Bombyx mori: one gene and its partners. The protein of the gene in region 1 purifies or fractionates together with the protein of each later gene. This does not show direct contact. Links are inferred from orthologs where the notes say so. Each region holds a gene or a part of one and is shown in the gene's direction. Other genes may lie near its edges.

Region 1 (8,051 bases):
CCTAGAATTTTTGCCACCAACTTTGATTTGCCTTGCAAATAGCTCCGACATCGGACATCGCTCTAAGCTTCAACTAACAGTATCCCAATATTCGGGAAAGGTTGCAGGGAAACTCGTTAGGATTGCGGCACCATGACAAAAGCGTATTTCTTTGCAGTAGATGTGCAAAGCTATCGCTTTAACGGTTTGAGTTGAACTAAGTTCAATCAAAGGGTGAGTCGAACTAAGTTCTATAGGAGACTGCACCAGTTAATTTTTCACTTCTGACACAAGCTTTGGTCGCCTCACCTGCACCGCGCTTCTATTCGAAGAGAGACTGATGGTCGATATATCGCGCATCCCCAAATCATCTCACACAATATGTAGTTAAAATATGCAAAATAATTAAATAGCATTATATTCCTAACACTGGTTTCATTGCGGCCCTGATACCATCGATGATTGACATTAATTTTTAAAATATTCATCTATTGCTACAACATTTCATAGGACCAATTTTTAAATTGCCATTAATTTTTAAAACGCCAAAGACCACGAATTGATGAAATTAAATTTGTTTGTACTGTGCCATAATTTTATTAACCTTTATTGTGTTACATTTAATCATTGCGTTGCTTTTAATAGAGGATAACGAAAATCGCAATTTGATAGAAAATACTACATCAATATACTACTATGTATTACATAATTGTCATGAATGGCACGTACTATATTACAAATATACAGGATTAAAAGCTAAATTCATAATTCTAATATCACTTTTATTTGTTAATGATATAGTAAATATTGTAGCAGCGAAATCGCCAGAATATTCTGAAGGTTGGAGATTTTATCTGAAACAGAAACATAAGTATTTTGATAAACATGTATTAAATTACTTACTGGAATATATAGTTAGATGTGAACTTACACAATGAACATGAAGCTTTATCTTGAACTGAAGGTGCCTGATATTCATCAGTTGCTTCTAGAAACTGATAAATGGCTTTGAATCCAGCTCCATCCAATCTATCATTGGAACGAAAAGTTACTTTGAAGAAATTCCTTTCGGATTCAACATGGAATTCTTTCATTTGACCACAATATCTGCCGTATCTATTGTCTTCAGTCATGTAATTAGAAAATTCGACGTAATCACTTGCCGATACAGCTTCACAGCTGAAATTATGAAGATTTTAAATGAAAAAACTATTGAGAATTAATTACAATAAATTAGCAAATAATAAACAACGTCTTACGGCAAAACTCCTTCTACATCGAAATTGGTGAAATGTAGATGCACTTTCTCGGTCTCACCGCCGTGGAAAAAATATGTACATTCTGTATCACGAGGATATGGTCCTGGTGAATTAGGGGATGCGAAGGTACCGTTACGATTTTCTGTACTGTTATATACGAAGGCGCAGGGAAACTCTTTGAGTTGCCTCCCAGATGAAATTCCAAAATCTGTAATGTAGAAGATTTTATAATATATACTATTGCAATCGCTGCCGAATAATAAAATTGAACATTTTAGGTCATGTTCGATATACAATACTTAAAATTGTTTTTCTAACTCTTGAGAGAGTTCTAATGCGTACAAAACTTATTGTGAATTCACAAACATTCACAAATTAATTGATGGCACTATGATGTTGTTAATTGTAGGGTAATCAATTGCGTTTAAGTGGGCTGCTAATCAGTGGCAACTATTGACGAATTTATCTTGATACCTAATCAAATAGGTACCTACATTACAATTATCAATACTCACTTTCAACAAAAGAATAAGCAATTTTAAATCCTCTAACGTATCTAGACGATTGCGTGCCCCGAAACTCTAACATCAGTTTTGGACCGTTAGACATGATAGGCTTTGGGAGATCGATTCCGCAAAACGTCTGTACTTTTTCCAATCTTCCGTCCACATTAATGAACGCTTGTAGCGAGTCCGTATTCGTACAGCTGAAATGTGAAAAAATAATATTATGTAAAAAATAATAAATGTTATTTGTAACTTCCCCATAAATTATTTTATTATGCTGTTAAATATTCTAGGTATTGTAATTGTTTTAATGTTGTTGGTATAGATACTCAAGGTGAACAGTCCACTGTATCGATAGAGTCCAATGGAGTCGAATTATGTCGCACCTTTAATGCTTTGGGTTACCGTTTATTAAAAAAAAAAAGAACCCAACGTTCACAATTGGAAAATTAATGTAATCCACGTATATCATCTTATTTTCGATACAGAGATATAAATCAGTTCACCGTTCACTTGTTGTTAAGTAGTAACCGGAACCCCGGGCACTATTGACAGTTAGTGTGAAGAAGAGGTGTACTAATTTATTTATAAAGTTACCTTATTAAAAATAAATGTACCGTCCACAAATCTAAGCGGCAATAAAAAAAATTTTTTTTTTTTTTAATGCCTTTGTAGGCAGACGGGCATACGGCCCACCTGATGGTGAGTGGTTACCGTCGCCCATGGACTTCAGCAATGCCAGGGGCAGAGCCAAGCCGCTGCCTACCGCTTAATACTCTCCATAAGCCTCGTTTGAAGAAGGACATGTCATAGCGCTCGGGAAACACCGTGGAGGGGAGCTCATTGCATAGCCGGATGGTACGTGGCAAAAAAGATCTCTGGAAACGCACTGTGGATGACCGCAGTGGCTCCAGGTAGTATGGATGAACTCTACTCCGGTGGCGGGCGGTGCGATGGTAAAAACGAGATGCTGGTATCATCTCGAACAATTCCTCAGAGCACTCCCCATGGAACATACGGTACAAAATACAGAGGGAACCGAAGTCCCTCCGCAGACCCAGAGGCTCCAAACGATCCGAGAGAATGGGATTATCGACAATCCGAACGGCCCTCCTCTGTATGGAGTCAAATGGAAGAAGCTGGTATTGGGAGCCCCGGCCCAGAGATGGGAGCAGTACTCCACGCGAGGCCGGACTTGTATACTTGTATATTACACGACATATACTTACAGAGCGGCATACCCATTAGACAAAGGACAGTCAAATTAATAGTTATTTATTTAATATTACGATTATTTTCATAGATTTCCAGAAATGTGAAGATTTATTTTGTTGATAGCATTTTACTAATAATCTTTAGCTTATTGAATATTAAAACAAACTTCGTCAAAAGTTGAGTAATATTTTGAAAATATAACTTTTACTTACTCCAAAGTGCCATCAGCTGTTTTATATAGAAAAAAGTCCAGGAAAATTAATCTTATTCTTTCTTTTCCTCTCCCGAAGAATTCGTAATGACAATGTGTGTTCGGTGGATATGGAGTGGGATAATGAGGAGAAGTCAGTGTTCCATGCTTCGTCGTATCACTGTTGAATTCTTGGTGGCAGGATGATGCTGAAACATAAACAAATATTATTATTATAATTACAAAATTGATAAAAAATAACTATAGTTTTTCCTATATGATCATAGTCAAGTGTATATCATCAAAGACAAATATCTCATAACAATTATTCGTGAATACTAGAGTTTACGTATTAATAGTCTAATGTTGCAAAATTAAAGATTGCCAAGAATCTGTATCCGAATGTTCCACGAGACGCGCATGCGTGGCTGTGCTGACTATAACGTCAAATGTCAATAATGTGACAATGTCAGTTGTCTTTATATTATGTTTTGAATTTTGATGTGTGTGTATTGAAAACTAGAAAACACGAGGAAAACTGTTTTTAAAATTAAAGTTGTTATTGCACACTTCAGGCCGTAATTTATGTTATTTTTATAAAAAAATCCGTACTTCGCGCAAGTTATGTAAAGTGGTTAAATATAAGGAGATAGAGAATAAAAGTTATTTAATATTAAACAGTGCTTCTTGAAAAAAATGCTTCAAAACCTGTCACAACAGGTCTCGTATCAGATGTTTTGAGTATTCAACATATATTTTTAAGTGTGTCATTGCCTCATTGGCATTCATAATCGCAATGTCCGATTCAACACCGTTTTACGTAGATCGAGCCAAAGGTGGTAGGGCAGCATGTAAATTATGTAAAGGCAACTGTCCTAGTGGTGAACTACGTATGGCCAAACTTGTACCGAGCCCGTATGGCGATAATCAATCCATGAAATCTTGGTATCATGTTCATTGTTTTACTGACGTATTGTTAAAGCAACGCCCTAATACTAAACGAGTTGAATCCATCAACGACATTGGTAACTGGGACAATATTAGTAAGGAAGATCAAGAATTGATACTAAAAAAATTAAACGAAACTGAAAAATTGTACGCAGAAAAACACAGTGGGAAATACACAGCGAAACTAATTGAAAACAAATCTTTAGGCTCCATAAAGAAAAATAGTGTTAAAAGTGAGCCAGACACTACTGATAGTGGTAACATTGTAGAAGATAATAAATTTAGTACTTTTATTGAATTATGTAAAAGAATTGCAAAAGTCGATGCATATACTGAAAAGACTGCTGCTGTTAATTCTTTTTTTACGAAAGGAATAGAGAAAGATAATTTTAAAGGAGATCTTGGTTTGTGGTGTAAATTACTATTACCTCAAGTAACCAAAAGAGTTTATAATTTAAAGAGCAAACAATTAGTTAAGCTCTTCTCAAAAATATTCAATATTGATCACGATGATATGTTAACGGATCTAGAACAGGGAGATGTGGCAAATACGATACAGAGATTTTTCTCAACATCAAAGGTAGTGCAACCTGCTTCCTTTAGTTCACTTACGATCCACAACATAGAAGATTTCCTAGAAAACTTATCTACATTAACAAAAGAAGAAGAACAAATTTACCACTTCAAAAAAATTGTGAAAAAATGTACATTAGATGATATGAAAATGTTGATACGGTTAATAAAAGGAGATCTAAGAATTAATGCTGGACCAAAGCATATCTTGGAAGGAGTGCATCCCGATTCATATAATGTTTTTCAGACGTCAAGAGACCTTAATATGGTTCTTGATCGGGTTTTGTCAAAGAATAATAGTTCAAATGACAAGGGTGTGAGCCACAAAGCTGTTTCAGCAAAACTGACATTAATGACTCCAGTTTTGCCTATGTTAGCTGAAGCATGCAAATCAATTGAAATGGCGATGAAAAAATGTCCAAACGGTATGTACTCTGAAATTAAATATGATGGGGAGAGAGTTCAGATACATAAAAAAGGTACAGAATTTAAATACTTTTCTAGAGCATTAAAACCTGTGATGGCACATAAAGTAAGCTTATTTAAGGAACATTTGCCTAAAGCTTTTCCTAAAGGAGAAGATATGATATTAGATGCTGAAGTTTTGATGGTGGATGTGTGTACTGGGAAGCCCTTACCATTTGGTACATTGGGCGTACACAAACAATCTGAATTTAAAGATGCGGAAGTATGTTTGTTTATATTTGATTGTCTCTATTATAATGGAGAAGTATTGATGAATGAGCCAATTTGGAAAAGAAAGAAGTTTCTTGAGGAAAATATGATTGAAGTAAAAAATCATGTCATGTTATCTGAATTACAGTTTATTGAGAAGCCATCAGATTTAGCTAAGATGATTGCTGAGGTAAATAAAATAAAAATCCTCTAAAATAAAAATCCATTGCAAATTGTTTAAAACACAATTTTTACTGACACAAGAGTCTGGTGAGCCTTGGTTAGGTCTCACCACTTTGCCTATTTCTGTCGTGAAGCAGTATTTTGATATGAAGGGTGGGGCAACCATTGTACTGTAAAAACTTAAGACTTGAAAGTCATGTCTCGAGGTGTGTAGGCTGTGTTGGCCATTTAGCACCAGGTGAGCAATGAGCTAATTCACTCGTATATCTAGAAAATTCCTTTTTGTATTTTAATTTTGCACAATAATAATTCACATTTCATACAATTTACTTTTATTAATATTCTTCCAGATATCTTTTCAAAACACAATAACATATATAATTTCTGTAGTAAAAAAGAAACGTTATGTCAAGACATCATTTGCCAGAAACTGTCTTTTAATTATTCCAGGTTCTACAACTGGGTCTGGAAGGACTGGTACTAAAAGACCGTGAATCTATATATGAGCCGGGAAAACGTCATTGGTTGAAAGTGAAGAAAGATTATCTCTTTGATGGAGCAATGGCTGACACTGCAGATCTTGTTGTACTTGGAGCTTGGTTTGGTAAACATACAGTTTTTCATAATTAACCTCTTGCCATTAACTATCAATTTTTATAAGATAGCATCTAACTAACATCTAAATTTAGTCAAACAACACTGCTAACTCATTTTTGTGTGAATAATAAACATAATTTTTGAATGTTACTTTCTTTAGCCAAATCTGCCGTGTAGTGGCATTTCGTTTCGGTTTCAGGTGCTTTACTGAAAAATAAGACTTAGAACTTCTGTCTCAAGCTGGGCTTCTATGGGCTCCGGTGACCACTTATCACCAGGTGGGCTGTAAGCTCGTTTACCCATCTAAGAAATAAAAAAAATATGGATGTATTTTAAAAGATAAAATATTTTGATATATCCATTAGGTATATTTGAGATATTCAGGAAACATGTATTTTTCGGGCTGTATTTTTTTATTTCTTGTAAAATTATATAAGACCCCATTGAATTTTTATATATTATTATATATTGTTATTGAATTTTTCAGGTACAGGTAAGAAAGGCGGAATGATGTCAGTATTCTTGATGGGCTGTTTGGATAAGTACAAAAATAAGTGGGTAACTGTAACCAAAGTGCATACGGGACATGATGATAGCACGCTCGAGAGACTTCAAAAGGAGTTAGGACCTTTAATGTTGAAGATTTCTCAAGACAGTAATAAAGTCCCGTCATGGTTAGACTGTAAAAAGGGTATGGTGCCGGATTTCGTCGCTTTAGATCCTAAGAAGCAACCAGTTTGGGAAATTACAGGTTAGTGTATTTGTTTTTTGTTTATGGTAACTATTGATTAGTTGGGGCCTTTTGCCATAAACAAAATACATATTGAGGGGTGAAAGCTTATTTAGTTTAAGCTACATTTATCTCTGTAATTAAGGGTCCGTTTTATTTGATATTAGTATCAACAATTCGATGATTTTAATTCAGCTTCAAATTAGTTTACCTCATTCTAATAGCTGAAGAAGTTTAATAGTTTTTTTGTTATGATATTTTTACCAAATATTAAGCATTAAATACTTTCTGTAAAGTTGCGAAAATGTCGTTTAAAACAAATAGGCTTTCACCCTTCGATATAATAACAGCCTTATCTAACCGTGAGTATCCATGAATGCCGTTAACGCTTTATAGATAGGAGTTATTAATAGAAACTGTAAATAGAGCATTACATGTCCGTGCACGAAGCTGGCCTTAATAAGGTGACCAAACTATACTAATTTACTGAGTTTTGTACTCTTTTTTCGCAAACCGTTCTCTTTTCAAATCCTGTACTCTAAAAGTACTCATTTGTATAATTTTATACCTCTCATTTGTATTTCTAAATTATTATTTTTTATTTTTTTTATTTCAATTTTATTAATTAAATACTTAAAATTTTATTTTGACAGTGATTTGAATTTGATTTAAAAATAGGTTTTTAAAAATAAATAAAGTTTTTATTGTTTTTTTCTTCTTTTTTTTTTCACCGATGAAATGCTTGCAAAGTGTTACTCTTTTTGAACATAAAATAGTTGGTCACCTTACTTAAGTTTCAGCCACTGACAATGTGATTATTTAAATTTCAATATTATATTTCAAGTACTAATTGTATGCTGACCTTTATGGAGTTTTAGTATGTGGTTAAGATTTTATTATAAGAAAATATTAGGGTCCTTAAAACTGAACTGCCAAAAAAATTTTTTTTTGCTTTGTAATCATAAGTTGTGTGGTTTCAGGTACCGAGTTAACAAAAGCAAACCAACACACAGCCGATGGGATATCAGTGAGGTTCCCAAGAGTCACAAGGATTCGAACAGACAAAGACTGGCAGTCCGCCACGAACTTGGATGAACTGAAACATTTATACAAAACTTCGAAAGAAACCAGTGACGTCTCATTATTAAACAAATTGGCTGCTTCAGCTTCTGGTATTGAAACAACGAACAAAAAAA
Region 2 (7,996 bases), on another chromosome or scaffold:
GAAGGCCTGTCTTAAAGCTCAGAATATGTTGGAGGGTAGTTCATTTTAGAGCTAATACGTGACAACAATGATCTCTGTAGACGAACCCAAATTTTCGAAGGAAAAGTGGTTAATGTACCAAGCTAAATAGAAATGGTTGTTGTTTGATATTTTGTCTATATTAATGTGTATTCTGTGATGTCCCGAGGTCATTGGCATCACGCGTTGTCAAATTTATTTTTTCATACATTACGCGGGATATATAACTTTTGAAGTGAAAACTTCTTTAGAATCGTTGTGATTTCAAACCGGATGCAACGGAAAAAACGACAGGTAAGAGACACAAATACAAAAATGTGTAGGATGAAGCCAGCAAAGAATGAGACAGAAATATACATACTATTTAATACAGCGCCATCTGTGAGATTTTTTAATACTAACGTGTGTATGAAAGCTCTTGTAGTGAATTTTTATTTAGGATTATACGCGAAATTATAATACCAATTCACAGAGGGCGCTACCTTACAATTATTTACTAATGACAAAATTTTACATATACTTAAGACGTTTAGGATAATTGTATTTTAATTTTGGAAGGTTTCACTTCTACCACGTGTGAATTGCACACATTTTGTTTTTTTTTACTGCTTTTTATTTCTTAGATTGGTGGACTAGCTCACGGTCTACCTGGTGTTAAGTGTTTACTGGAACCTATAGACATTTACAACGCAAATGCGCCACCCACCTTGAGACAAGTTCTAAGGTCTCAGTATAGTTACAACGGCTGCCCCACCCTTCAAACCGAAACTCATTACTGCTTCATGGCAGAAATAGGCAGGGTGGTGGTACCTACCCGTGCGGACTCACAAGAGGTCCTACCACCAGTGTGTTATAGTGTTAGCAAGCTCTCCCAAGTTGAGCCCGTGAGCTCATCTACCCTGGGCGTATCTGGAATAGCCTTATTATAGTCTACCAGCGAATAGGTAGGGGAAAAAAGTACCAGGATAACATGAATTGGGTAGAGTTAAATTTGTTTATTTCTTTTCTCTAGGTGTGCAACCACACGTGCGAAACGTATGCAGATAAGATTATGAATATAAAAAATATGGATGCGTTAGGAACGAAGAGATGTCTCACTGATATTGGTGAGCAAATTTTTTTTTTAAGCAATTAGGTTTATTTGTATTTTTGTATGTAACGGTGATTTTGGACAACTTTTTTAAACTTCCTTTTGTTTGTATTGCTTAGATGGGTGGATGAGCTCACGGCCCATCTGGTGTTAAGTGGTTACCGGAACCCATAGATATCAATCAACCACGTAAATGCCGTCACCCGCCTTATATGAGTTGTAAGATCTAAGAATTTGAGTTTTGGTATTTTCGTTGATGTCCATGGACGATGCTGTCAACTTGAGTTTTGGTATTGTTGATGTCCATGGGCGATTTGCACTGCAGCTGTGAATCATAAAAAATAGAATTTAAAGGAAAAAAACCAGTAAAACTTTCCCGTTTTCGACAACGCTAGTACCAGGCTGTCATAGTACAAAGGAGTTCTAAAATTAAAAACTGTTTTTTTTTCTAAAGTATACCTGTCCAGCGTAGTTGAAGATCTAGGGTCTTCCGTGACACCAGCGTTGAAGAACTTGGAGAATTCGTTGCGAGCTGCCACGCCGGCTCTACACAGTCAAAATTAGCGTAAATAAATGTTATTGAAATATAAAGGCTTTATTAAAATTATTGTTTGAATACTGTAACTTTCATTATCATTATGCCTCTATCAATACTACAATTGTAATAAAATTTTATTGATATAATGATAGATGCTCTGTACAACTGTACATGGGTTTTTTCCTACCTAAGCTGATGGTCTAGACTCTAGAGAGACCATATCAGCGTAACCTTAACTAGTAGGTGAGCTCACGGTTCTCAAACCTGACGATGTTGCTAACACTGGCCCTAGCAAGAGCAGTGCTTCCCGGAATCTGCCACCGGATCGGAAATGCAACCCACTACGAAGATCCGGCGAGAAACTCACTGGGCTGTGTCTGTGGGTTAATTTACTCGACGGGCTCGACGAGATCGATGGCCAGTGCTTGGGGTACCTAAAAGCACCGTTAGTGGATCGGGAGGATCCGAAATGACGTGACTACACGAGTGTGGATGCCTACCTACTTGTGCCCAAACTTGATGACAGCTGTCACAAGATGTTTTGGATTAAAGGTCTGGTTAACACGGCATAAAAGATGCTGTCCCAAATATCTTAAAAAATGAGACTGGCAGGAATCCGACAAGTAAAGTTGTGTGAATTGTTTTATTTTGTCACTTTAGTGTTTCTTCAGGCTTAAACATCTGGTGGTAGGTATTCCACCGGTCGATATATTTGTGAAGCACCATTTTCAAAGATGAACTTCATTAAGAATAAATTTCTTTTTCGACTGACTGAAGAATATCTCCAGGATTTAATGTTAATAGCTTTCACTAAATCTACTTCAAACTTGAAACAAATGACTTGAGAAACTTGAGACTTTTTTACTGGTGGTAGGAGCTCTTGTGAGTCCGCGCTGATAGGTACCACCACTCTGTCTATTTCTGCCGTGAAGCAGTAATGCGTTTCGGTTTGAAGTGTGGGGCACTCGTAACTATACTGAGACCTTAGAACTTATATATCAAGGTGGGTGGCGATTTACGTTGTAGATGTCTATGGGCTCCAGTAACCACTTAACACCGGGTGGGCTGTGAGCTAGTCCGCCCATCGAAGCAATAAAAAAAAATTAAAAAACTCAAAACGGGGGTTTGTTAACTGTTAAGTGTCTGTGAAAGTGTACAGTTGTCAGCATCCTCCAAAAAGTTTCAGTAAAAACTACATATTCTTTTGACTGAGACTATATTTCATCCCATATCATCTTGTTTCATTTAATTTCATATTAATTGAAGTCTCAAATTAATCAACTTCATTTCATTTTTCATAAAACATAAAATTCAAAACGTTAGGCTGTATAATATGAGTCCTTGGTCTTTTTGTTTGGAAAATAGAACTACTGGAAAAATGACACAACAAGACAGTTCACTATATAGTGTTTTGAAATATTTCCAAAGATTCAACAACTTTCTAACTTTATTTTATGATAGCTAGGTAGACTTTTTAAGTGATTTATTTAAGTATGAACCCTTCCCTAAAGCGACGAGGAACTATGCAAGGTACCTGTAACAATTCAAGTGTATCTGAGTTAACGAACAAAATAATAAATTTTATACAACGTTAAACAAAATAAAAATTGTCATGCTATTTCAGAAAATGAGACAAAAAGAGTAAAAAAGGTTTGTGATTATGGCGAAAAATGCTACAGAATGAATCCTGTACATTTCCGTGAATTTAGTCATCCGCATTGTAAGTAAAAAGTTTAAAAATTTTCTTGGATGTATGTGAAAAATGTAGTTTTTATTTTTGAATAGAACTCAGAAAAATCTTGCCTTAGTAAAAATTTGCAGTATTTTTAACTTTTATCAGAGTTTGAAGTCTTAACTGGAAAAGCAATTAGCCAAATCTGTTAAAAAGTTTCCGTGTTTCAATAACTCTTTGGTTAAACAACAGAAAAACAAATTAACAAGACAAAATAATAATCTTCGGTTCTCCTTTTTTTATTGTCTTTGTAGATAGCTGAGCATACTGCCCACTTGATGGTAAGTGGTCACCGTTGATCATAGATCATTGCCAGGGGCACAGCCAAGTCGCTGCCTACCTCTCCCAATGATACAAAATAATTGTAACTACTTGTAAATAGATAAACTGTAACTTTTGTAAATTGTAACTACGAAAAATTAAAGACAAACTTAAATCTAAATTGTAACTTAAAGGTTAAGGTTGACATTAATTTTTCGTTTACAATTTCCAACATTTCATTTACAGTTTTCACCACTGTAGATTACCACATTAAACCATAAAACCTGTTAGAAACAAAACATAAAAATTCAACTGATTTACAATGCACTCAACTGATATAATTGCATTATTTTCCACAGTGGAATCTATATTGGATAACCATGCCAGTGGTGGAGATTACCCTATCCCAGATAAATACAATCTCCAGAAGAAATTGATCACTGAACAGCTAGATCTTATAATCGAAAAGGGATTCTATGCTCCTCGGAACAATGTACAAAACAAGTAAATTGAAAAATATTCTCCACATTTATGATTTTATTTATATTACTAAAGTTTTTCATGCCTAGTGTAAAACTAAGTCTTCATTTAAATTTTAATAGTCTGAGGACTAGACTAGATAATTACACCATTGCTTTAGTTATTTGAGGCATGCTTTAGATGTGTTTTTGTTTTAAAGTTCTGAAGTGGTGGTCACATAATGGAATACGTAATGTGGGTTAGGCTCTCACAAGACGGATTGATGACCTGTTGAAGGTTGCGAATAGGGTTTGTTTGATGCAGCCTCATTTCTTGGTCTCAACTTAGTCAAACTTAGTTCACTGAATATGTACCCTCTAACTTAATACATATAAATATTAAGAAATATAAAAAAAATTACTTGAATTATTAAGTATTCACTGTATTATATATTATGACGGCGCGACTGGTGCCAATAAAGAGGTCAGCTCAGTTTTGTGCAATAATAGTAACTCGTACTCATAGTAGAACAGTGGATGTAGCTATTTCCCGAATTCTCCTGAATACCCTATTAAACAATTGTTTATAAGCATTGGAGTTATAACTGTTAACTTTTACACATCTTAGTTAAATAAATAGCAGTACTGTAAAGACAAGTTATTGTATAATCGTCATTTCGCGAAATCGGCACGATACGAGAACCGTCACATCGTGGCCGCCGGTAACTACATTCCCGATCCTGCGGACTGAATGGTAAACAGTCGACGTCGCCCAAAACGCCTCATTACGGATCCTCCCGATCCACTAACGGTGCTTTTAGGTACCTCAAGCACCGGGTAATCGTTCTCGTCGAACCCGTCGTTTGCGACGAAGGGCTCAGCGAGTAAACTAACCCACAGACACAGCCCACTGAGTTTCTCGCCGGATCTGTTCAATGGGTCGCGTTTCCGAACCGGTGGTAGATTCTGTGAAGCACTGCTAGGGTTCGTATTAGCAACGTCGTCCGGTTTGAGCCCCGCGAGCTCACCTACTCTCCTGGTTACGCTGAAATGGTCTCCCAAGACCATCAGTAACCCTTAGGTAGGTTTTAAAAAAAGTTTAATCATTATAGCCCAAAACAAATTGAAAACAAACAAGAAAGAGACAGCGACAGACGAGTAGGGAAAAATGTGGAACCGGAGGCAAGTTCTGCTAGTCATCAAAAAGTACCGGACAAACCTGAAAATACAAAAACAATGTTTTCAAATAATGAAGCCAAAATTAAGACACCTGTTGATAGAGGGGGAGTTGTTAAAGAGAAATCCACTAGTGAGTTTTATTTAATCAGATAATTTTTTGAAGATACTTTAACCGTAGTTATAAAAGCTGTTGAATTTATTTATTTTTCAATTTTTTTTGCTTAGATAGTTGGACGAGCTCACAGCCCACCTGTTAAGTGATTACTGGAGCCCATAGACATCTACAACGTAAATGTGCCACCCACCTTGAGATATAAGTTCTAAAGTCACAGTATGGTTACAACGTTTGCCCCACCCTTCAAACCGAAACGCATTACTGCTTCACGGCAGAAATAGGCAGGGGGTGTTACCTATCAGTGCGGACTCACAAGAGGTCCTACCACCAGTAATTACGCAAATTATAATTTTGCGGGTTTGATTTTTACTACACGATGTTATTCCTTCACCGCGGAAGTCAATCGTGAACATTTGCTAAGTACGTATAGAAAAATAGGTTCTCTTTTAAATTCTCTTTAAATTGTTCTATCACTCTGAATTCTAAAAAGGTGTGTACAGTGTAAACCTACACTATATAAATTGGCCTCAAGAAGTACGAGGGCGGCACTGAAAATTTCGGGAACTAACGAAGTGACACAACATTACTATTTAAAAATGTATTTATTGCTTTTCGAAGTATTCTCCGCGAAATTTGACACATTTTTCCATACGATGGAACCAATCATTGAAGCAACCATTCCATTCGGAAGTTGGGGTCTCCAAAATGGCCGTTTTGTAGGCGTCCACAGCTTCTTCAGGTGATGAAAATCTCTGTCCACGCAATTTATTCTTTATCTGTTTTCTATTCTGTTTTCTTGCTCTAAAAACTCTTTTGTTCTGTGCGCGGTGTGAGAACTCGCATTGTCGTGATGGAGGATGATGCGGCGGTTGCAGTTCTCTTTACGGAGTTCAGAAACGACCTGTGGCAAACAAATGCTAGCATACCATTCTGCATTAACCGTTCTTTGTCCCTCAAGAGGAATAGTCGTAACATGGCCGGTTTTGGAGACAAACGTGGCCACCATTTTTTTTGCAACACTCCGTGAACAAACAATTTTTGTTGGCTTTAACTCATTTTCGAACACCCAAACTCGTGACTGGTTTTTTGTTTCGGGTTCGTACGCGTATATCCAGGATTCGTCACCTGATACAATGTTGTATACAGCATTTGAGGATCCTGCGTGGAATCTTTCGAGAGTTCTGACGCACCAAGTAACGCGAGCCGGTTTTTGCTCTTCACAGAGCGAATGCGGTATCCATGGGGAAAACAACTTTTTTACACCTAATTTTTCATGCAAGATTATTTGTATTTGACTCACGCCAATGTCTAAAGTTGCCTGAATTTCGCGGTATGTCACATGTCGATCTTCCTCAATCAGCTTACGCACAGCATCAACGTTTTCTTGGGTGACTGCAGTTTTTGGATGACCTTGACGGGGATCATCACTGAGCTTGACACGTCCACGTTGAAACTCAGCAAACCAGCGATAAATTGTGGTTTTGGATGGGGCTTCATCACCAAATGCAGAAATCATCCGGTCAACACACTGTTTTTGTGTTAAACCACTTCGAAATTCATAATAAATCATCGCTCTTGAATTTTCTCGAGTCAATTTCATTTTCTCAACGACTAAACAAGTTTGACAAAACCTCGTGACAAGACCGAGAATCTTTTTTTAAATAAATAAATGGTATTCGATTTTTAAAACCAAGGAGTTTTCAATTAAAAAGATTTTAATATGACAGGAACAGGGGAAATATTCCATTCCCGATACTTTTAGTGCAGCCTAGTAAATCTTTAGGTTTTTTTCAATATGGCAATTTTTTTGTTATGCTGTTATTGTTGCCAGTTTCTATCTATTACGTGAATAATTGAGCTAATGAAATGAAGTTGAATCATTTGAAACTGTAATAAATTGAGATGAAATTAAGTGAAATGAAACTAGACGAGATGGAAGTCCTAGTGATATGGGGGGAATTTACTAGTGTTGTTTGATAAATACACTGAATTATCGCTCTTCCCCCAAAATTCTCCCTTCTATAAATAGTAGTAGTTTTATTTTTCCAATTGGAAAGGCAAAGGTATCATACCATACAGCTTAATCTTTTATATATTTTTTATATGAAAAATGATATTATGAAATGAGATGAGATGATATGGGATGAAATATAATCTCAGTAAAATGGTGGTCATTTACTGAGACTTTTTCAATGGACTCTTTGGAGGATCCAGAGAAGTTACGTTCAGCGGCTTTGTTTCATTTTCCCACATTTGTGCACTTTCACAGTTATTAAACAGATAATAAATCACCGTTATTACACATTTAAATCTGAAGAAACACTAAATAGACAAAATTAAACAAATCACACAACTTCACTTCTCGCGTTCCCGCCAAAAAGCCCTCTCTTGTATAATTTTTTTTTTTTCAAACTGTAATTCTATTTTCAGACTCAGATTATCGTCCCATAATACCTCCGACTCGACGTGTAGAAGATTATTTGAACGTTGTAAGACCTAAAGGGCGAATGGCTGCAAAGCACGAAGCCAGTGCGCCCTTTTATATTTTTTACACAACAATCACGGCGGCAAAGGAAACTCATTCGCAGCCGTTCTCTATAACATT
Region 3 (7,867 bases), on another chromosome or scaffold:
ACAAGAGGTCCTACCACCAGCAATTGATCATTTATTGAGAAGACAAAAACTAAAAAGTAACGATATTCATTCAAAGAACTTGAGACTACTTACAACTGGCATTATGATCTGTACTGGTACCAAAGGTACAGCCAGTAAAGCTAAATCTTCACGTGGGACACCGGCTTCAACAAGCTTCAAGCCTGATACTGCATCTGCCGCACAAAAACCAAGCTGAAACAAGAATATGCTAAAATACACAAATAAGTAAAATCATATCTATTGATTTAGTGAATCTATCCATTTGAAGTTATTCAATAATAAAATGTTTCTTATAAAACAATTAAGTTATATTACATATTTTACATGAATTAAATGGATAGTGTCTTAAATCACTTTGGATTTCATTTAATTAATTAAAATATTTCTCACCTTAGCAGTGAACAGAACCAAAGCTAATTTACGCACTGCTGGTAATTTCACAATTGTATACAACTGTTTGTAAGCACTAACAATATCATTTCCTCCCTTCACCTGACCACTTGCACTGGTATCATTAGCTTCATGTTTAAATATAGCTATGAATGTAGTCGTTATAATGAAAATCCAACCCCAAAATAGTAGAAAACTTGACAGAGTCACTAGTCCAGTCTCCTGTGGTTCTGTTCGTAAATATTTGTTGCAGAAATATGGAGACTCGAGAGCCAGAAACATTACATATCCCAAAAAAAACCCAGCTGTTTGGCCTACTGTATTACATGTCGAGGCATGTCCAACATTACACCTGAAAATTAATTCATAAAAAGAATTACAATTCTTAATCAAATCTTACATTCAAATTCCAAATCTGTCAATTTCATCTTTTTATAATATTTATAATTAAGCGATTGTCATACCTTTTCAACATAGTCAAAGCCCAGCCATCAACAGCAATATCTTGTGTGGCCGCTAAAAAATTTAATAACAGAAAAGATACTGTAAGTATTGTCATTGAAGGTGGTTCCCCATCAATTCCCAGCCAATCTGTGACACAATATGATACTATAATCATTACTATTCCAATCAAGTACTGGACGGGTACAAGCCAAGTTTTTCTTCTTCCAAATTCAGGCCAAAACATTGCATCCACTATAGGAGCCCATAATAGTTTTACACTAAAGGGCCAATTTACTAAACTAAATTCAGCCTGAAATTTTAAAACGGATATAGTTGAAATGCAAAATATTACCTTTTTATTATAAAAAAAAATTCTTTAGAATACTGACTTGTTGCGTGTACGTTATGCCTTTATTTTGTAAAAGCATTGGGACAGCTCCAGCTAATCCCAGTGGTATACCCTGTAATGTGTATAGGAACAACAAAACAGCTATGTTTAGTTCATCCCCTTTAATGTTACTTCTTCCTTCGTTCGGCGCGTCTCCGTTTTCAATCAATTCCTCATTTTCCGGTGAATTTTTGCGCTTTGTTAAAGTCATAATTGCTGCTCTTATAGCCTAAAATACATCACAAATGTTCTAAAGTGCCAATGTTGAAAAAACACGTCAGTAGAATTTACTCATTCCAAACCTTAATGTTTGCTGTTTTGAATCAAGACCACACTGAAAATAATTTTTTTTTCTTAAAAACTGACTAAATCAATTATTTCATTCACCATTTAAAATTTTTAGTACAGTTTTAATAAAAAAATAACTATTTATTTAATATTAATAATCTGCACGATTACCACGTACATAGTAGCACATACGTACCTAATATGAAAATTGAAATTGATTTGATGAATGAAACATAGTATTACAGGTAGGTTTCGCGTATTAACTAGTGTATTATCTATGACCATGTTTCTTTTTTGGAAACTGACATCTCTTAGTGATCTGTGGCATTGTAATTTTTTGTTTGTGTGATTCGTCCATTAAACATGCAAAGAGAACGTAGCCAATACAGAAATTCTACCCGAAGTTGTTTCCACTTTATTAAGCCTTATTATTATCATCTAATCTGGTGGTACGACCTCTTGTGAGCCCACACGGTACCACCACCCCGCCTATTTCTGCCGTGCAGCAGTAATGTGTTTCGGCTTGAATGGTGGGGCAGCCGTTGTAATTAAACTGAGACTTTAGAATTTATACCTCAAGGTGGGTGGCGCATTTACGTTGTAGATGTCTATGGGCTCCAGTAACCACTAAAGACCAGGTGGGCTGTAAGCTCGTCCATCCATCTAAGCAATAAATAATAAAAAATAAAAAAATCCGGAAATGAAAAAACGTGGGGCCAAATTCAGCGAGCCTCCGTCGTCTTATCCTAAGCAGCTAGAGATGAGTTATACTAGGTGAATCAGATACTAGTATTTGATTTACCACAAGCTCCTAATTTTAAGAAATACCTAATCCATAAAATCTTCCTAATATCATTCACAACCAATACTTTACTAAGCAAGCAATCTCAATCTGCCTGTTCCTAATCTCAAGTTCTCAGTACGTTATTAGGATTTTAAGAATACGAAGGTTAGGTGGAAAAGGTAGATTATACATATTGGCAAAATGGGATTAGGTGCAGCCTAATCTCGTAAAATACCTAATACTTGGGTCTGTTCTTGTAAATCTGACCCATCTCTATAAACAAGAGTCACTTACTGTCACTTAATTTTTTTTAAGGGATTTTGTGACCTGGTAACTAAGACCTTTAGGTCAAATCTTATTTTAATTTTAATAAAAACTTTTTTACATGAAAAATGATATTATGAAATGAAATGAAGTTGATTAATATGAAACATGGCATGAAATGAAATGAGATGAGATGATATGGGATGAAATATAATCTCAGTAAAATGGTGGTCATTTACTGAGACTGTTTCAGTGGACTTTTTGGAGGATCCCGAGAAGCTACGTTCAGCGGCTTTGTTTCATTTTCTCATATTTGTGCACTTTCACAGATACTAAACAGTTAAAAAAACCACCTCTATTACATATTAAACCTGAAGAAACACTAAATAGACAAAATAAAACAAATCACACAACTTCACTCCTCGCGTTCCCGCCAACAAGTCCTGTCACTTTATGTCATTTGTCATAGATAATACACCTAATTTAATTTCTAATTTTTCAAAAAATCTATACCTAAATGTACTTAAATAAATCTGCGAGCCTTTGAACCTATCTTGTTATATATTATAATATTAAACCGTGTTAAGTACCAATTAAAAAAAATAACCATGTTTGTTAAATATGCCATACAAAAGTTAAATTCATAAAAACTATGTTAAACGCATTATTCATGCTGTACGTACTATTATCATGTCTCGTTTATGCTTTTTGAGATGTTTGTTAGATACACATGCGCCTATTAAACTTCCTCACAACGTACAAATAATTGTAGGGCGCAATAAAGAAACAAAAATTAAGGATCAGTCATGTTCTAGACAGCAGCGTAAGTGATAACTTCAATTGAGAAACCCTATTTATTGTGCCAATGCATACTTTGCTGAACAAGCTTTATTGCAATATCTTGAATAATTTTCTTTTACGTCAAATCATTGCATATTTTTTAAAATTATTTGCTTAGATTAATTTACATACTTTAAATTTTTATTTATCCTACATAATTTCGCGTTGATAAATCAAAATCTTAAGTTGATACCTACCATAATTGTGTTCTACTTCTTCTAAATGCTTGTTATTCTTCATTTACAGTAAGCTTAAAAGCAGATTGTGAAAAATGTCATGTAGAGATAAAACAACTAGGGGTAAACGCTTCTGGGTTAGATGGTTTTGCTCTTAAAAAAGATGAAGTGTATGAAATTGGACATGGATCAACAATTGAGATTTTATTAAACAATCATGTGCATATACTTGAATTTGATCCACCTCCTGAAAGCCTAACTACCTCACAGAATCAGACATTCAAAAGGAAATTGGAAGATGACAGTACATCTCAGAGAAAGAAATCATTAAAAGTGGAACAAGTGTCATCAAGTGTAAAAGAAAAAGTTGAAAAAGTTATTAGAGATATGTGGGATGAAATAGACAAAGGTGAATTGTATGTGTTTACAGCTAAGGGAGTGAAATCTAGTGACAAAATAGCATCTTTTGATATGGATGGAACCCTAATCAAGACAAAGTCTGGTAAAGTTCATCCGGTGGACATAAATGACTGGCAAATAGCATTTCCTTCAGTGCCCCAAAAACTGAAAGAATTTTTAGAAAAAGATTACAAAATTGTGTTATTTAGCAATCAAGCCCCTATTGGTAATGGTAGAGTTAAAATAGAAGACTTTAAAAAGAAGATTGAAAGTATTGTCCAAAAATTAAATGTGCCAGTACAAGCATATATAGCAACTGGTAAAGGGATTTACAGGAAACCTAGAATTGGAATGTGGATGACTTTGACTGAAAAGGTATAGTTTGAGTCTGTTTAATCTCATATTTATGATTAAATTAAAGCATTAAAGCTGTCTTGCTATAAGAAATACAAATCTCTAATATTTTTAAGCCTTCACTTAATTTGGGCTTAGCCATTTTGACAGAATTGGTAACTACATAAACCTATAGTATACTGACCTAAAAGAACTAGGCATATTATGAATTTTATGTTAATTTATTTTCTTTTACAGAAAAATGATGGTGTCAAAGTTGATATGAACCAAAGTTTTTATTGTGGAGATGCTGCAGGAAGGGTGGCAAACTGGGCCCCTGGTAAAAAGAAAGATCACTCCTTGGCAGACAAACTCTTTGCTGAAAATTTGGAATTAAAATTTTATACTCCCGAACAATTCTTCTTGGGACATTCTATTGCTAATGTGCTAATGAGTAAACCTGAGTTTCATCCTAAAGAAGTAACTGTAGAACCTTTTAATAATAAACTAATTAGCAAAGATAAAGAGGTTAGTCAAACTTCATTCAAATATATTTTAAAATTGTTTTTTTAATTGGATTTTAAACAAAAGACATTCTAAAATAATATACAATACTGGTGTTATTAATTGCTCTAAAAAGATATTAAGGGTTATTGGAACTCACAGACATCCTATTGTGAATGCTGCCACCTACTGTGAGACGCTAGGTTAATGTCTTTGTTTGAGCTGCTTTGGTTAAAGAAATCTAAAGTAGTCAATATATATATAATTATGCTTAACTAAGCAAATAAATGTTGTTTTTTGTTCAAGTTGGAATCACATTATTAGCAGTTTTGGCTAGAAGTTCCAACAATAATGGTTCACTCTCTTTCAACATTTTGAAACTTTATTTTTACTTGAGGTTGAGTTTTAAGTTGAGTTTTACTGCAGATTTTAAATTGATGAAATATTTCAAAGTTAATCAAAATATTGGTTTTGCAAGTGTTCCAGAAACCGAAAATGCATACCTTAATTTAAGCAGATATATATATTTAGTTGCGAATCAAGTATCATTTAATAGTGTCTCATGCAAATGAAATTTACGTTAAATTAATAAACGTTACACAGTGAGAGCACTTATGAAACTGATGAAGTCCTGCTGCGACAGCAATACAGCAATTCCTACAGTTGAGCATTTGGAATTAGCGTTCTTGTGTTCTTTGCTTGTAGACTGTACAGCCGTGATTGGCCCACGTTTATTTCCCAAATTTTATTTCAGACCCACAGCACAACCCCTGTCCTCCTATTTTTCTGAAAAGGTGATTAGTCACCGAGTAATGGGTAGCAGCATTCTCGGACCTATTATACCAGTACAGTGCGATCTGTATTTCGACATTTATTATTTATAGAGCATTTTGTGAGCCACCACGCATGAGTATATTATACTGTCTATTTCTGCCATATAACAGTAATGCGATCCGGTTTGAAGAGTGGGGAGACCCATTACCCAACACAATTGAGACTTATACCTCACGTCCTACGGCAGATAGCGCCATTCAATACTTAACACCTGATGGCCAGTGAGGTTGACAACAACAAAAGAACGATAAAAATAAATTTCGTTATAACGTCGTTATAAAAAAACTTTCGTTATAGATACTAATTTTAGTTGGATTTCCTGGTAGTGGAAAATCTTATTTGGCAAAGCAGATTGAAACTAAATCAAATCACAAATATGCGACTGTGTGCAGAGATATTCTAGGCTCATGGCAAAAATGTGCTGCTGAAGCCACAAAATTGTTGCAGGTAAGTCAAAGTTCGAAGGCAAATAAATATAATAAGCTTACTTACTGGTAGTAGGGTATTTTATGAGCTCGCCCAGCGTAATTCTGCGGTGAAGCAGTAATGCGCTTCGATTTGAAGAGCGAGGAGTGCTATATTTACGACTCGTATCTCAAGATGGGTATTAGGCGACATTAACTTGATTGATATCTATGGGCTTTAAGAGAAATTTAATGAACCATATTTTCAGGCAGTCTTTATGTTCATTATCACCAGCTGTCCACTTTATCATTATCAGTAATAATGCAATTAACAAATAGCATTGTAATATTACAATATTGATTGAAATTTTAATTGAAAGTCTTATGGACACAATCAGATAACATTTTAATCTAATTGAACGGGTAATAGGTTGTGATTCGTATTGACTACATTAAATTTCATAATTATGATATAGTCATTTTAATATTTTATGTTCATTATTATCAAGGTTTCTTAATTAAGAATTTAGTATATTCTTAAATGAGGGTAGTTTTTTTTTCGAAAGTATATGTGTGATATGATTAAAGTTCTTTATAATATGTTTTGTTATTTAGCACGCACCCTGTATCCATAAAGAGCTTTATGGATTTTTATAGATTTTGGAATATCTTTAGCTTTGTCTTAATTGGGTGTTTTTTTAATATGTTTTAGTCAGCCGTACACCTGTCATTAATTAATATGTGTAATGGTATTAAAAAAAGCTAGGAAATCATTTCCAGATGACGTATTGGTAGTCTAGTAGTAATTCTATTTTCCAACAGGAAATACGAAGGTATCGCACCATATATTATAGCTTATTATTTTATATATTCTGTTATATAAAAAATAATGTAGTAAAAAATTATTTGGATGAAATGAGGTCAAATTTACTTATTTGAGATTGTAATCAATTGGGATGAAATTATATGAAACGGTATGAGATGAAATGAAATAAAGTCTGTAAAATGGTGGTTATTTACAGAGATTTTGGTGAACATTTTGGAAGAACTCGAGAAGCCAGATTTTACGACTGTTTCAAATTTCCACATTTATACACTTTCACAGATGTTAAACCGTGAATAAAGCAACATACGTTTAAGCCTGAATAAACACACCAAATTAACAAAATAAAACAATTAACATAACTTCGCTTCTCGCGTTCCCGCCAAAAAGTCTCCCTGGCAGTATAGTATATAACCTCTTTATAATAAGAAAATGTCTTTTTTTTGCAGCAAGGAAAAAGTGTCATAGTAGACAGTACGAATCCGGATGTTGAGTCTCGTTCCCGTTGGACATCACTCGCAAAACAAAATAAAGTAGATTGTCGTTGTGCTAAAATGGCTACTTCTAAGGCCCATGCGCAACATAATAACAAATTTAGGGAACTGATGAAGATCAATCATGTTCCTGTTAACGATATTGTATTCCATACCTACAAGTGAGTGCATTACTGTTTAGCTAACTCAAAAAAACACAACGCCCACTGAGTTTCTCGCCGGATCTTCTCAGTGGGTCGCGTTTCCGATCCGGTGGTAGATTTTGCGAAGCACTGCTCTTGCTAAGGCCAGTGTTCAGTGTTGCCAGATGACTGTGTGAATTTCCCCCCAACTTTTTTCGAAAACCCCCCGAAAATAGGCTTTTTGAAGAAAAAGACCCCCAAAACAGTCTTTACTTATTTTAAAGAAGAAATAAAAAACCAAAAGGATTCTTTTATTTTTTTATCAAGCTGTCCCTTTAACTTCAACCATCTCTAAACAA
Region 4 (7,932 bases), on another chromosome or scaffold:
CAAAAGGCTCAGAAAATTGTGGATGACTCCGGGGATTCTGAGATGCCTCCGAAACCGGGACAAATTACACAAAAAAGTGAAAAAATATCCTAAAAATGAAGTTCTTCAATTAACTTTTAAAAGATATAGGAACTACTGTACATCTCTTTTAAAAAGCGCTAAGAGCAATTATGATAGGGCCCAAATAAAAAATGCTCAAAACAATAATAAGAAGCTTTGGGAAACAATTAAAACTATAACACATACCAAAAAACAAAATACCCATGCGAACGACCTTCTCACACACGCAGGACCCGCAAACTCTATTAATACGGTCAACCATTACTTTGCCAATGTCGGTAGTTCACTAGCTCTAAATATTCATGCAAAAAAAACACACTCAAAAGTACCTAAATTGTTTTCTCATTTAAGAACTTTTGCTATGCTGGAAACTGACCAATCCGAGATAGAAACCCTAATAAATAGCCTCAGAACAGACTGTGCCTCTGGATCGGATAATATCTCTGGGATAATTCAAAAAAAATTTAAACACATCCTTCTAGCTCCAGTTACGTTTTTATGTAATCTGGCTATTTCTACTGGAGTCTTTCCCAACGTCTTTAAGCTTGCAGTAGTTCATCCGATCGATAAGGGTACGGGGGACCGACGTCTGCCGAACAATTACAGACCTATTTCTATTCTGCCAACAGTGCCAACCCTCTCAAAAATTCTGGAAAAAATTATGAACCATAGACTTATAAAATTCTTAGACAAATACAACCTTCTCTCCCCCTCTCAATATGGTTTCCGCTCTGGTATATCGACTAGCGATGCAGTTTTAAACTTAACTAATGAAATTGTCACAAAACTATATAAAAAGAACAAAGTAATTGTTATATTCTTGGACTTAGCTAAAGCCTTCGACACGATTTCTATCCCAACTCTCATAACTAAGCTTGAAGCCGTTGGGTTAAGAGGCAGTCAGCTTTCACTTTTCAGGAGCTACCTTACGGGCAGACGTCAATGTGTCAAAATCAGTGACCTTATCAGTGACGAACTCCCTATAGCATATGGAGTGCCACAGGGCACTATTCTCGGCCCTACCCTATTTTTAATATATATAAATGACCTATGTCAACTAAATATCACAAACGGGTCTATTTACACCTATGCTGACGATACTGCTCTCGTATTTCATGGCAGTTCTTGGGAGGCAGCTTTTAGTTTTGCTCAATGTGGCCTGAACACCGTAACTGACTGGCTGTCTAAAAATCTACTGACACTGAACGTGGATAAAACTAAGTACGTCACTTTTTCCCTGTCTACGCGTGGTAAAATATCATCTTCGCCTTTTTCACTTATAGCCCACTCCTGTAACGCTCTTGGACAAACTGCCTGCGGTTGCCCCTCCCTTGCCAGGACAAATTGCATTAGGTATCTGGGTATACAGATCGATGACCTATTATCCTTTCATTCCCATATTGACGTTCTGTCGTCCAGATTACGCAAACTCACTTACATTTTTAAAAATCTGCGTCATGTTACCGACAGGAACGTACTTACACTCGTTTATTTAGCGCTCTGTCAATCAGTCACTCAGTACTGCATAGTGGCATGGGGCGGGTCTTCCAAAACACACTTTTAAAAACTTGAACGTGCCCAGAGATGTATTTTAAAAGCTGGATGGCGGCTCCCTTATAGGTTTCCTACAAATGATCTTTACAAAACCTGTAAAGTCCTTTCTGTCCGTAAATTATTTATTCTTAATCTTATTATGACTACACACTCGAAAACTCCATACGATCCGACATTGCTCGTAAGTCAGCGGCGCGGGCATGGTGTGCGTCCCACGACACTTGTTTCTACATCGTTAGCTCAACGCTTCTATGGCTTCCTAAGTAGCTTCATATAAAATAAAATCAATAAGCTGATCAATATGATCAGCATGACACAGACCCAATGCAAACATGCACTAACAAATTGGCTTCACGACCTAGACTACGAGCAAACAGAGAACTTACTCCAGACTGTGAAGTAATCTGCTTTTTGTTTTCGAGCCCAATTAAGCAAAAAATTATTTATACCTATGTAATAGTAATAATAAACACGCATAGATGCAGATACTCACACATACACAATACAACATGCATGCGCGCACACGCCCACATATACACACACTCACACACATCCAAATACACACACATTCACACACGCACACACACGTAAAATGACCTTCTTAAAATATAACACCTAATGATCTCTCAACACTAGTCCGCAGCATCTGTTCACGACTTAACCTAACCTAATCTATCTTAAGAAGGAGGGAGCCTGGAGATCAGTAATACAGGTCTTTGAACCTAGTACAGACTTCAGCTCTTTCAAAGGCTTACAAAATAAATTATAAGGTTAATTTATTTCCATTTGAATTTGTATGTACCTTGTACCTTTAAGAGAGAAATAAATAAATTATTATTATTATTAAATGTGTAATAGCGGTGGTTTGTTAACTGCTTAATATCTGTGAAAGTGCACAATTGTGGGAAAATGAAACAAAGCCGCTGAACCTAACTTCTCGGGATCTTCTAAAAAGTCGACTGAAAAAGTCTCAGTAAATGACTACCATTTTACTGAGATTATAAGTCATCCCATATCATCTCGTCTCATTTCATTTTATTTCATCCCAGTTGATTAATGTCTCAAATTAATCATTTTCATATCATTTCACTTCATGTTATCATTTTTCATAAAATTAAGAAATATATATTTATTTATTTATTTATTGCTTAGATGGGTGGACGAGCTCACAGCCCACCTGGTGTTAAGTGGTTACTGGAGCCCATAAACATCCACAACGTAAATACGCCACTCACCTTGAGATATAAGTTCTAAGGTCTCAGTATAGTTACTATATTAAAATAAGACATGACTTAAAGGTCATAGTTACCGGTTCATAGAATCCCTTAAAAAAAATTAGGTAATTACAGGTTGACTTTTTGGCGGGAACGCGAGGAGTGAAGTTGTGTGATTTGTTTTATTTTGTCTATTTAGTGTTTCTTCAGGTTTAAATATGTAATAACGGTGGTCTATTGATTGTTTAATATCTGTGAAAGTGCACAAATGTGGGAAAATGAAACAAAGCCGCTGGACGTAACTTCTCGGGATCCTCCAAAAAGTCCACTGAAAAAATCACAGCAAATAACCACCATTTTACTGAGATTATATTTCATCCCATATCATATCATCTGATTTCATTTCATTTCATATTATCATTTTTCACTCAAAAAAAGTTTTCATTAAAATTAAAATAAGACTTGACCTAAAAGCCTTAGTTACCAGGTCATAAAATCCTTTAAAAAATATCTATGAAAACAAATCTGTGGTTGCAAAAGCCGAAAATAACGTCATTTTATGTGAATTTGTTTGTTTTATCGTTGTACACTGTATGTAGCAAAAATAAAACCTAATATCTACTTTCATAAAAAGAACATTAGAAGTAATACATAACAGAATTGCAAAAAAATGGCAGACTTGCCATATCAAGTTGAATACGCAAAGACAGGTAGAGCAGCCTGTAAGGGTTGTAAACAAAAAATTGATCAAGGCTCACTGCGCATTGCTGTGATGGTACAGGTTTGTATAATGTGTAAAATTTAGAACTATGTATATATTTTCTTAACTAAGCCGATAAAGGTAAGCACGCCATCCTGCCTATTTCCGCCGCGATGTAGTCTTGAGCACAGACTAAGTTACCTACTAGTTTACTGACATTGAGAACCAGTTTGAAAGTGAAACAGCCGTTGTATTTTCTTGTTGCTTTTATCGGTAATTACTCATCTGATGATGATTAATTACCGTTGCTCATGGACGACAATAAATGTTAGGACCTAGCCAAGTTGCTGTTTAGCGTTGAGTACCCTTTGCAAATCTTTTAAAGCCCAGAGATTGGAGCAACAGTCCATTTGAGGCCAAACTTGTGCTTTGTAAAGTACCTATAATTTTTTCTTCAGACGTGAAGTACTGCACTGCTCTGTTGGAGACTCCCAACACTTTAAACTCCAACTAGCCTTTGCCCTCCAAATGACTTACTCAACACTGCCTACAATGCTAAGAATAAGAAAATTAAACTTCTCAGAAAGTTCCAGAGATTCTGCTTGCAATTAAAATTAAATATATATAGTAAGGAATACCCTACTAAAAAGGTATAAAACCGGCGTGCAGCTCTGTCACCCGCGCATTTGTCGGTTGACATTAGTCGAGAGAACATCGGTCAAAGACTTTAAGTGTTAATTTAGGAAACACGAATTTTATAATAATGTTGAGGGTACAGTGCCTATAAATAGCAACGCCTTTGCTCGAAACATTAATTCGATCGGCGGCGTTCGTGAGAGAAGGTAGTCGTGGACATGGTGTGAGTGAGTCATTGTTTTAAGTCTCTGTAAACGTGTGCTAATTGTTATTTTTTTAAATGGTTTTTCTTCTGAATCCTAAATATATATATACAATGGGCATCTGGTGTAGTGGTAAGTGACATGGTCACTACACAAGAGGGTCGCGGGTTCGAATTCCACCAAGGGAAGATATTTGTATGATAAATATAAAATGTCTTTTCCAGGGTTATGAATGTATATTATATATATGTAAGTGTATTGGAGTGATGTAGGCAAAATAAAAGAGAATTGTTCAAGTCGACAATTAGTGTAATACTGTTATAATTTAGTGTGTGCAGTTACAAATATAAGGTTAGGTGAGCTGCACACTACATAAGTGTATAATAAAAATCTTATTTTTATTTCCGTTATCTGATACCTGTAACACAAGGTCTTTACAAACTTAGCACGGGACCAGTTAACGTACCGAGGACGTCTCACCTTCCGAGCGACGCAGGTGCTCACGGGACACGGCTGTTTCGGTCGCTACCTGCACCTCGTTGCCCGGAGGGAGCCGACGCCGAAGTGCCACCATTGCAGTGGCTGCAACGAAGACACGGCGGAGCACACGCTCGCGTACTGCCCCGCTTTCGCGGAGCAGCGCCGTGTCCTCGTTGCAAAAATAGGACCGGACTTGTCGCTTCCGACCGTCGTGGCTGCGATGCTCGGCAGCGATGAGTCCTGGCAGGCGATGCTCGACTTCTGAGAGTCCACCATCTCGCAGAAGGAGGTGGCGGAACGGGAGAGGGAGAACTCTTCGGCGCCGTGCCGCCGCCGTCGAGCCGGGGGTCGGAGGAGGGCGTTTGTCCAGCTCCGGCCCCTATGAGGAGGCAGTCTCCTCCCGGTGATGGTCACGGGGCGACCTAAGGGGGTTGAGACTGCGCCGCACGCTACCGTCACTCTAGCGCGCTGGCACCAGGAGTACGGGACGACGCGTCGGCGGCGCGGTCCGCATTTTCGTCGTCGCTGTCGTCGCCGAACATACTGTGGAAGAGCAACCCGGTCGGCGGTGTATCGCGTTCCGACCCGGCAGGCTGGTTCTGGCCCAGCGGGGTATCCCGGAACACCAGTGGCATTGCCCGGGCGGCCTAGTAGGGCCGCCGTACCGCGGAGACTGACGTCGTTGGTCGTCGACTATCGCCTCGACGACCCGTCGGTCGGGCGTCCTCGGGGTGGCGCCGCGTGTCTGGTTGTAGTGTTGACCGCGGAAACCCCCCTACTCTGACCGGGCTTTGACCCCGGACGGAGATCGGACGCCGGGTGTAAGAGTGCAGGGGAGTCGTTTAGTGGGTGGGCCCTAAATTCCTTGGGCCCGCGGTCTGCTCTCAACACCTGCAGATCGTTGAGTCTCACATACCCCGCGCGCCCCCTAGGCGCGGGGACCTCGTAGGAGGTTCGGCCCTCGGTCAGAAAAAAAAAAAAAAAAAAGTGACCAGTTAACGTGGCGTGATCGTTAGTAAATACATATATATATTTATTTATTTATATGACTCAACTCTGAAAGATTTTTTTTATTGCCCTTGTAGGCAGGCGAGCATACGGCCCGCCTGATGGTGAGTGGTTACCGTCGCCCATGGACTTTAGCAATGCCAGGGGCAGAGCCAAGCCGCTGCCTACCGCTTAATACTCTCCACAAGCCTCGTTTCAAGAAGGACATGTCATAGCGCTCGGGAAACACCGTGGAGGGGAGCTCATTCCATAGCCGGATGGTACATGGCAAAAAAGATCTCTGGAAACGAACTGTGGATGACCGCAGTGGCTCCAGGTAGTATGGATGAACTCTACTCCGGTGGCGGGCGGTGCGATGGTAAAAACGAGATGCCGGTATCATCTCGAACAATTCCTCAGAGCACTCCCCATGGAACATACGGTACAAAATACAGAGGGAACCGAAGTCCCTCCGCAGACCCAGAGGTTCCCAATTTACCTCATGTTCCAATGGTGGTGGTGAGATGTATTAGTACTGTTATGTGTATGAACTACATTCATCATATTCGCTCATAAATGCAAAAAGGAAGGATGAAGTGGCATGGATATTTTGTGAAGTCTAAGCCTATATTTGCTAGTCTCTTAAAATATTTCAGGTTCCCATGTACCATTTTTAATGAAACAACGAATTCTGCCATAAGTGTCTGTACCTATAACTATTAACTTTGCAGCAAAAAAACCTAAATAAAACTACTAACTAATTACGGCTATTTTCCATTTTAATAGTAAAACTACATCAATAAGTCATCCATTTGTTTCCTAGGTTGAAGACAGGGTTTGGGTTTCACAGCTGGAGCTCACAGCCCATGGGGTGTTAAGTGGTTACTGGAGCCCATAGACATCTACAACGTAAATGCGCCACCCACCTTGAGATATAAGTTCTACAACGGCTGCCTCACCCTTCAAACCGAAACGCATTACTGCTTCACGGCAGAAATAGACGGGGTGGTAGTACCTACCCGCGCAGAAACACAAGTGGTCCTACCACCAGTAATTACGCAAATTATAATTTTACGGGTTTGTTTTTTATTACACGATGTTATTTTTTCATCGTGGAAGTCAATCGTGAACATTTGCTGACTACGTATTTCATTAGAAAAAAATGTACCCGCCTGGGATTCAAACACCGGTGCATTGCTTCAACACGAATGCACCGGACGTCTTATCCTTTAGGCACAACGACTTCATTCTTTAGTTTATGTAGATTTTTTAATTATAACCACAACCAAAGATTTGTATATAACCACATAATATTTCTAAAACTCCGCAGTCAGCTTTCTTTGATGGAAAACAACCAAACTGGCATCATGAAGATTGTTTTTTTAAAAAGCGACGTTTAAACAGTTTCACTGAAATTGCAAACTTCAATGTACTTAAAAATGAAGACCAGAAAAGAATAAAAACTACTATAGGTTAGTAAAATTTAAAATGTACAGTCATTAAGTGTTCAAAATATGTGCTAAAAACATGTTTCAGAAAACTGACAAAGTGAACATCTTTCACCATGCATGATTTTTTATTTGATAGATAACCAATAAATTTTGTTGTTTACTACTTGTGTAAATATATAAATTAAAATGGAAACCCGTTTTATAAATGTCAGTAGTGCAATTAAAATTTTTGCTGAGTTTTTTTTTCTATAATAGTTAACACTACACATGCAACAGAATTAATCAGCTCCTGCCTGTATTAACACTACTAGTTCCAATTACTTTCAATTGAGCAGAAAACAGTGCTGGTGCTGTTGTAATGCCCATTCAAGAAACCAAAACCAAAGGCAAAGGTAAACGTAACAAGAGAGCCGCCCCAGAATCAGATAACTCTGCGCTGAAGGACTTCAAAGTTGAATATTCAAAAAGCAGTAGGGCCACGTGTCCTGAATGTGAAATTAAAATTTGTAAGGTAAGTTGGTTTTCAGCTAAAAGATTTAATTTAACATCAGTAAAAATAAAATAATTTTAGTTGGATGCTATGTAAGTCTCTTCAAAATCACCGTCCTAAACTTAGAGATTACATACACTTATATAACCCGGTTATC

What was found.
Region 2: the proteins of DNA ligase 3 (region 1) and probable tyrosyl-DNA phosphodiesterase purify together in Homo sapiens (affinity purification with mass spectrometry; 4 studies listed by BioGRID and IntAct, with this or other methods). This does not show direct contact. The link is inferred for Bombyx mori from reciprocal best matches to the Homo sapiens genes LIG3 and TDP1.
Region 3: the proteins of DNA ligase 3 (region 1) and uncharacterized protein F21D5.5 purify together in Homo sapiens (co-immunoprecipitation; 5 studies listed by BioGRID and IntAct, with this or other methods). This does not show direct contact. The link is inferred for Bombyx mori from reciprocal best matches to the Homo sapiens genes LIG3 and PNKP.
Region 4: the proteins of DNA ligase 3 (region 1) and poly [ADP-ribose] polymerase purify together in Homo sapiens (affinity purification with mass spectrometry; 3 studies listed by BioGRID and IntAct, with this or other methods). This does not show direct contact. The link is inferred for Bombyx mori from reciprocal best matches to the Homo sapiens genes LIG3 and PARP1.

Annotation. Positions count from the first base shown.
Region 1 is NC_085112.1:10,798,749-10,806,799, reverse strand, and holds the start of DNA ligase 3, read left to right. Parts: upstream 1-3,611; 5' UTR 3,612-3,945; coding exon 3,946-5,535; intron 5,536-5,978; coding exon 5,979-6,132; intron 6,133-6,612; coding exon 6,613-6,876; intron 6,877-7,835; coding exon 7,836-8,051. Other genes in the region: suppressor of lurcher protein 1, read right to left, coding at 769-833, 911-1,158, 1,239-1,446, 1,754-1,944, 3,172-3,358. UniProt on the Homo sapiens protein: Isoform 3 functions as a heterodimer with DNA-repair protein XRCC1 in the nucleus and can correct defective DNA strand-break repair and sister chromatid exchange following treatment with ionizing radiation and alkylating agents.
Region 2 is NC_085130.1:17,778,643-17,786,638, forward strand, and holds the start of probable tyrosyl-DNA phosphodiesterase, read left to right. Parts: upstream 1-3,015; 5' UTR 3,016-3,139; coding exon 3,140-3,176; intron 3,177-3,270; coding exon 3,271-3,366; intron 3,367-3,998; coding exon 3,999-4,143; intron 4,144-5,209; coding exon 5,210-5,406; intron 5,407-7,821; coding exon 7,822-7,996. Other genes in the region: conserved oligomeric Golgi complex subunit 7, read left to right, coding at 1,031-1,124, 1,563-1,672. UniProt on the Homo sapiens protein: DNA repair enzyme that can remove a variety of covalent adducts from DNA through hydrolysis of a 3'-phosphodiester bond, giving rise to DNA with a free 3' phosphate.
Region 3 is NC_085114.1:7,137,825-7,145,691, reverse strand, and holds the start of uncharacterized protein F21D5.5, read left to right. Parts: upstream 1-2,991; 5' UTR 2,992-3,269; coding exon 3,270-3,402; intron 3,403-3,665; coding exon 3,666-4,369; intron 4,370-4,585; coding exon 4,586-4,855; intron 4,856-5,962; coding exon 5,963-6,112; intron 6,113-7,341; coding exon 7,342-7,547; intron 7,548-7,867. Other genes in the region: acetyl-coenzyme A transporter 1, read right to left, coding at 94-213, 412-763, 876-1,165, 1,245-1,454. UniProt on the Homo sapiens protein: Plays a key role in the repair of DNA damage, functioning as part of both the non-homologous end-joining (NHEJ) and base excision repair (BER) pathways.
Region 4 is NC_085128.1:12,940,917-12,948,848, forward strand, and holds the start of poly [ADP-ribose] polymerase, read left to right. Parts: upstream 1-3,320; 5' UTR 3,321-3,498; coding exon 3,499-3,609; intron 3,610-7,164; coding exon 7,165-7,306; intron 7,307-7,620; coding exon 7,621-7,796; intron 7,797-7,932. UniProt on the Homo sapiens protein: Poly-ADP-ribosyltransferase that mediates poly-ADP-ribosylation of proteins and plays a key role in DNA repair.